Nothobranchius furzeri: one gene and its partner. The protein of the gene in region 1 binds, or shares a complex with, the protein of each later gene. Links are inferred from orthologs where the notes say so. Each region holds a gene or a part of one and is shown on either strand. Other genes may lie near its edges.

Region 1 (3,187 bases):
TGTTCATGTTAATAAATACAGATGATGTTTTAAAATCCAAAATAAAGAAAAGCTGAATATTTTGGGTTACAATTATTCTTGTATATATATATATAAGAGTAAATTACCTTTTGTACTAATAAATAGTGCACAGTTAAGTTTTTCCTATGTGTTGATGCCCTGGAAGCTTTGAAGTCCATATCTGAATAAAAGGATCACATTTCTGACGCAAAATTCATAGTAACACTGTAGATTGATGCAGTTTTTTTAAAATAAACAGTCAGCGGAGACATTTGAGACTGTTCACCGTGGTGAGCTCACTTGTTTGACATGCCTACAAAAATGTCTTGAACACAAGGCAACAATCATCTAAACGGTTTAAAAAAGATCCCAGGCCTTTATGGATAAATAAAAACTGACAGTGACAAAGTCATGAGTTCTGTTTTAGAAAGAAGTGCATGCAAGAGAAGGCTTGATGGCTTTGTACTCCTTTCATTTTTCCAACTGAACACACAAATAAAGCAGTCTGGGTGTTTTTTTGTTGTTGTCTTGTTTCTTCTTGTCCAACACTGGCCCGTTTGCTGGGTGGAGTTTACGGAGCGAGTCACCATGTGGCAGGAGATTTGGAAACATGGTGGTGGAGCCCAGCTACATACAAGGAAGCTTGTTTTTGTTTGTCTCATTTAGTGACGCTGGATCAGGAAGACGGATCTCATCATCATAATGAAGAAAGAAACTCCAAGGTTTGAGAGTCTGATTCTGCTGCGTGAGACTGAAATGTGAAGACACGACAAAGATGCACAAATAAACACACAAACGCTTGTCCCAGTGCAGGTCAGCCCACACGTAGCACCATGAAACCAGGACGCGTTCAGTGGCCGCTGTCCTCCCAAGAGCTGTCGTTCTTCTGCTTGGACAGTTTTCGGACTAGCCTCTCCAGCTCTTTGCGAGACTTCTGCTCCTCCTCCAGGAACTGCTTCATCCATTTGTTCTCCTGCAGAGTGTATGAAAAAGAGCTGTATTTAATGAATAATGTAAGTAAGACATTTTTATTTACATAGCACTCATCACTGAAAGAAAATCCCAAAGTGATTCACATAGATTTAAAAAAATCACAAGGTCATAACATCATAATGATCTTAAATAAATTAAAATCAGGAAAACAAATTCATGACGTTACTAAATGATCGTAAATATAAATCAAGTGAAAGATGATTATTAATTCAAGTAAAAAAAGAACAAAAACACAGTAGATTTAGGTAAAAGCAGGTCTAAATAAAAGGGTCTACAGCTGCTTTTTAAAGGTGTCCAGGCTGTCAATACGATGTAAGATTCCTCTTAAGCCCAGAGACCCTGGTGCTACAGAAGAAAATACTCTTTCCAGGCTAAAAAAAAAAATAAAAAATAAACTACTCGGGTCACGTTCTAGGGTTACAGACACCAGCCAGACCACCTTATATTTTTAATGTCACGGTTGAAAGTTCTGACGCAGTTTACAAGGGACATTATTCAAAACTCGCCTTTGGCTGCCATGTGGGTCTCTGCTGCCTCTATAAACACTCTAAATGTAATAAAAACCCATCCATCTTGTAAATGGCTGCAAGTAGGTGGATTGTCAACGTCACTCACTCAATTGTATATAAATGGGCGTTAACCCGGATGTGGACGTGGCGTTGGCATTCCACCTGGCTTGACGTGTTGCAGCAGACCAAACCTCCACGTTAGTGAGGGCATTCTGATTAAAATTGATTAAATAAGAACGTGTCGCCCTACCAAATGCTTTGTACATTTAGTCTATGGTCTTGCCGTGCCAAGCCTCTGCGTGACATTACTTTGATTGCACCCCATGGCAAGAGGAGCAAGGTATTTGTTCTTTGTTTCTGTTTGTTGCTCCTGATGTTTGTCAGCAACTGTCTTTAATTTGTAAATTATGTATTTTCAGTTTTCACTGTGTTTGCACAGTGTTTGGCATCAGGTGCTCGGTGCGATTCTGGGAATGAGACGTATGCATCTACAGCCTGACGCAAATAAAAAGTCGCACCCGTCTAAGCTCTCCTCCTTATATCTCTTGGATGCTAAGGGGCAGTAACAGACAGAAACAAAGAACAAATATCTCTTTTTTTGACCGTGTTTATTTAGGAAATTATGTGCCTGAAATGACTCATTTGAAAAAGTCCTAGTTTGTGATGTCACAAATGGGGAAAAACAAACCACCTCTCACATGCAAAAGAGAGCTGCTACTGGAGGAGCAGCGGTTCTCCTCCAAGCTCCCCCTAGATATCAAAGCCTCTCTGCACATTTTCCAAAATGTATTTAACCGATTATTGAAGCCATTAAGTGGTTAATTCTTTGTTAACCGTAAACTCCCTCTCCAGCCCCCCTCCTGCGCACGCACACAGAGAAAAAAATATAAAATATAAATAAAACTAACGCTTTTCCTCCTACTCTTTTAACATCACTCAGACACAGAACCAAAGTCCCACGCCTGTTAAAACATTCATAAACTAAAAACAACGTTAGTGGGATGAGAGCTGAAATGTCCACCAGGACATGTTGTGTAATGGGCCGTCCGGCATTACAGCACTGCTTATAGAGCATTGTGGAGGCTACACATTTAAAAAAACACTTGAGTTTCCTTACATTGAACTAATTACACCAAAGTTTCCAAACTACAGGAGGCAGACACCAAGCTGTCACAAACGCAGGAGCCTTGTTTCATTTTGCTGCACAGCTTTATTTCCATGTTTTTCCAGGCTCAACGCTTTGATGTCGGCCTCATTTTGTTAACTACCACATAAAGAATGCTCCCACGCTGTGCACTTTCCTAAACGCTTAATTTTTGAGTAAATTTATTTGATCATGTGACAAGCTCTTCTTCTGTGGTTTTGACAGTGGCATTCTTGTGCCTTCTGGTGGCAAAAATATATATTACACCCATGCACAGCAGAAGGACGTGAGTTCAGCTGGCAGTTAACGGGACTTAACCGGCCAACTGTGTACACCCCTACTCTCAGCTTACAGCAGAAAGGCAGGGGCTGGGTGGGCGTGGCCAGCGGCAGCTCATTTTCTGGCAAAGCCCTGAAACGACTCATTCCAGAAGTGACTGAAACTGTCAAGAATTAAAATGCTGAAATTGCTTCATGTGAGAGGGATTTAGTGCAAAAAACTTCTTAAACATGTTTTGTATTGATCATAGAACTATTGTAAC
Region 2 (4,377 bases), on another chromosome or scaffold:
AACAGATTCACGGTAGTGCGTAATCCTTAGATTATAATCCCCGTTCCCTAAGCATGAGAGATAGCTGCATGCACCAAAGCTAGGGTCAAATAATAAACATGATTTTTTAAATAGAATTTTCAGACACTTTCATTCACTTATTAGCAGTTTAGGATTTGAATAAAAGGAAAATCTAACTTTGACTTCATAACAAGGAAAATAATGCAAGTTCTTCTCAAATAGGTCTGAGTAATAAATCTGAAATTATAAACTGCATTCATAAAACCATGTCAGGCGTTGTGAAATATTGTTCTGTTTTTGCTTTCATTTTCTTTCAAGATTAACAAAATATATACCAAACAACTTGGGTAAATAAAATGATCAACAATAGAAATTTTAGGCGTAAAAACACAAGTTAAAATGAAAAAAACCATTGTGATGTGTACATATTTCCATGAAACTTGAGGTAGGAAACATATTAGGCTACATGAAATTAACATTATAATTGCAGGCTTTTGCATTGCAAATAGCTACTGAACTCAATTTTAATAATAAATAACTCCAAATTTTGATCATCCAATGAATGAGGTGTGAACAAGTTGTTAAAATAGGTATCTATTTCCGTGTTTTTCTGCTTCACAGTTTGTTGCACATTGCTAAATATTATTTTGGTGGAAATTAAATATGTGGGTTAAAAGTTTATTATCATTTTTATATTTTAAGAAACCTGCAATCACATGAAACTTTCTTAACCCTCTGGAGGCAGGCGCTGCAGATTTGCAACAGTTAAAACCTACCTAACTGGTTACTCCACATACGTATTTCATGAGCATTTTTTTAACTCAGATGTATCCCTGAAAGACTTAGTTGTTTGTTCCTTTATCAAAACTTATTTTGAGCCTGAGAGGGTTAAATGCCTAGAGTATACACATTACATGTATTCCCTTAATTTGAACTGGCTTGCATAAAAGTCCAAAAAAGTTTGAAACTTGTTTTTCTAATATCTCAAAGGATGACATTATGTGTAGGAAATAAGCTTCAACTTCAGTTGGCAAACTACCTTTTCAAACTATGTTCACATTGTTGTGGGTTTGGTTTCAGACATATTTTTTCTGCATTTTCTCTCAGAATTTGCAATTACATTGTTTTTATTATTATTATTATTATTATTATTATTATTATTATTATTATTATTATTATTATTATTCCCCGCGGAATTAAAAAAACTCCTCTGGGGAACCTTTTCAGTGGTGGGATTTCCGTAAATACCGGAAGTTATAGGTGTTTGCAAAAATTCGTCCGTGCGGCAGAAAATCATAAGCAAAGATGGCGATTAATGCTGGACATCTGATGAGTTTAGCTGCTTTGCAGAGACACGATCCATACATTAACAAACTGCTCGATGTTACCGGTCAGGTTGCTCTTTACAACTTCAATTCAAAAGCAAACGAATGGGTAAGTAAGAGAATTTACCCTGGAAAAGTTTCGGGAAATATTTGGTGGAGAGCCAACAAAGCTAGCTTCACACTTAGCTTCTGAGCTTTGATTCAAAACAGAAAATATTGTTGTTGTTTTTTTTTTGGGGGGGGGGGTTGTTTGTTTGTTTGTTTTGTTTTTTAAGTAAATGTCTTTATTTGTTTAGTTAATTAAGATAGCGTTGTCTAGTATGTTGTTTTAACGCGAACACAATTAATGCATCTTAGGTACTTTCTAATTGTAAAATTTAACGCCTTATTAGCTTTCAGTTAGCTTATCACCCTCGCTAAATTTATTTAGCTAGTTTGGATTTGCGGTTTCTAGGTTTGAGTCGTTATCTCTATTTGTTCCAGGAGAAAACCGAAGTTGAGGGAACCCTGTTTGTTTATGCAAGGTAAGAATACCTGAGAGCCACGATGGTTGTTCCGCCGTCTGCGCACGTGAGGCCTTGAAATTTGTAAACAAAGATAAAGTGGACTCTGTGATTCAGTAAATCGAACGTAAATTACAGTGTTTAGAGATTGAAACTGAAATATTATGTTATAACGTTGTAATAAACTTTATTTTTAATCAGTTAAAGCATGAAGAACTAAAACGACCACCTACAAACTTTAGTTATAAGGAAATATAATAGACTTTATTAATTTTGTGGGTAAATTCACTCGTTACAGAAGCACATACACTTAGAGAATAGAAGAAGAAAAATAACAAAAGTACCAGTAAATACACAAAGGCAAATCTTTCTGTTAAAAAAATAAACAGGACACGAATTTGTTGTAGGTTACTTTGAATTGGACTGGGAGCTACTTAAATCAATAGTAAAGTTAACTGCTATCCTTTATATTAATTACTAGCACAGTAAACAGCTCCTGCTTTTTAGCAGGTAGAGACCTCCCACACTTGTGCCGACCCAAACCATAAAACTGTTAAATGTAGTTTCTGGTCAGCAGAGGGCTACTGAGTGCTGTCCCATGTGAAGATGTTCAACTTTATGGCTGAAGAACCACTGAAACCAGTTTGAAGGCAATAGCTTAAAGTGTCGAAAACTCTTTAGTATTGCTTTAAATGGTCAATTAAAAACAATCAAATGTGGAGTAAATATTGTACCCAAAGCAATGTGAAGTGCAATTAAGGAGGTAATGTTTTTCCTGGGTCCTTATGAAGGTCTGCCTCCCCTCACCATGGCTTCACCATTATGAATCGACTGAGTGCACAGAACCTTGTTGAGCCCATAAATAAAGACCTGGAGTTCCAGCTGCAGGATCCTTTCTTGCTCTACAGAAATGGAAACTGTGAGTGTTTTGAAGGAAATGAAACACTAAAGAAGTATTTTTGAAATATGTTATTTTTTCTGTTGTATTTTGGTGTGTTTGTGGTTTTGTTTCAAGGTGACTTAACATTAAGGACTTGTTTCCAGCACAGAAAAAGTGTTTAATAAATCTGTAAACATGTTTAATGACTTCTGAACCAAAATGAAAATACATTTCCTCCTAGTATAATAGCTTATTATTATTGTTGCTTTGTTAAATTCTGTTAGTCACAAAATGCTCATTATTTAATAGAAATTTCTGCAATTTTGGCATTTTCATAATTTTCCTATTTGAAGCATTAGTGATATCTTCACTTTTACATACAAATGTGTGTATTAATTATATTAACTAGCACAAACACTATTATGATCCTTAATTATATTAACTAGCATAAACACTATTATGATCCTTAATTATATTAACTAGCATAAACACTATTATGATCCTTAATTATATTAACTAGCATAAACACTATTATGATCCTACCTGTGAAAACAATAGACAGATATCTCCCCAGCGTTCGATGGAACACCTCTCTTCCATATTGCTTGAAGTCATTGTGACGTCTTGCAGCATCAAGCAGGAACACTTTAGCACTCATGGCCCAAAATGGCCAAACAGCAACTTCAGCTTTGCTAGTGAACAGTTATCTTTCTGCATTTGGGCAACCGTCTCAGAGTTAAGTCTCTGATTGGTGAATCCGACCACTAAGTTAATCCAGCGATGTCCTCCAGCCTTGTGACAGAGCAGTGTAACAAAAAGGCCGCAAAGTTTCTCAAATCTTCAAAAAGTAGCTGACTGCGCTGCCTCCAAGGTAATCTATTAGAAGTCTGAAGAGAAGCTTCATCAGGGCAACGAACAAGGAGTTAGAATGCTTTCCCATTTGTTTGCTTATAAGGAAAAACAGCATAGCCAGGGTCAAAGTTAGAGTCGACGGCTCCCCTTTTGGAGTTGGTTTGCACATCAGCCTGGCTGGGATCGAGGACATGATGAGGTTGGTATCCCAGTAAAACCAGCTTCTCGGATAACTTTACTTTAGCATGTGTGCTAATATTGTTGTTTGGTGGAGTTGCAGGAAGATAATCTTCAGGTTTCTCCCTGGCAGCAGACAGTCCCTCGCACACACACAGTCCACTAGATCTCAGTGTGCTGACTCGTTCTGTAGCCTGTTGCTGTAAAGGTGTGGCTGTATGAGTTTAGATTTCCCAGCTGTGATCCTGAAAGCGAGAGTAGTAGAAGAAACGATGAAGACTGAGCTGGCATAAAAGCAGGATCAAATAAAGAGCACAGGTTAGACACAAGTACGGTTAAATCTTCAGAGAGATGGTGATGATTAACAAATATATGAGTGTTTCTTCAGTCTCCTTTGAGTGCTTGTGAGCTTGCAGCTCGGGGCTATAGACTGTTGGAGAGAGACATACTTGTTTACATGGCTTCATATTCCCTTTGGTGGCTGGAGATGCTGCAGGGAGGCAAACTCTTCAGTTGCTAGGTAACCACAGCCTCCCTGGGGGATGGTATATTCACCAGTGTGTTGGTGCAATCCAAAATCACATAAGTGATGTGGTAACAAGTTAATGTTTCTGTGAAAAATGTAATATTTAATCACTAA

What was found.
Region 2: arhgef6 (region 1) and dcp1a share a complex: the UniProt entries of both Homo sapiens proteins name them as parts of the cytoplasmic complex. The link is inferred for Nothobranchius furzeri from reciprocal best matches to the Homo sapiens genes ARHGEF6 and DCP1A.

What each region holds. Positions count from the first base shown.
Region 1 is NC_091741.1:83,114,432-83,117,618, forward strand, and holds the end of arhgef6 (rho guanine nucleotide exchange factor 6), read right to left. Parts: intron 974-3,187; coding exon 851-973; 3' UTR 536-850; downstream 1-535. UniProt on the Homo sapiens protein: Acts as a RAC1 guanine nucleotide exchange factor (GEF).
Region 2 is NC_091755.1:32,995,647-33,000,023, reverse strand, and holds the start of dcp1a (mRNA-decapping enzyme 1A), read left to right. Parts: upstream 1-1,266; 5' UTR 1,267-1,305; coding exon 1,306-1,434; intron 1,435-1,808; coding exon 1,809-1,849; intron 1,850-2,619; coding exon 2,620-2,747; intron 2,748-4,377. UniProt on the Homo sapiens protein: Necessary for the degradation of mRNAs, both in normal mRNA turnover and in nonsense-mediated mRNA decay. Removes the 7-methyl guanine cap structure from mRNA molecules, yielding a 5'-phosphorylated mRNA fragment and 7m-GDP.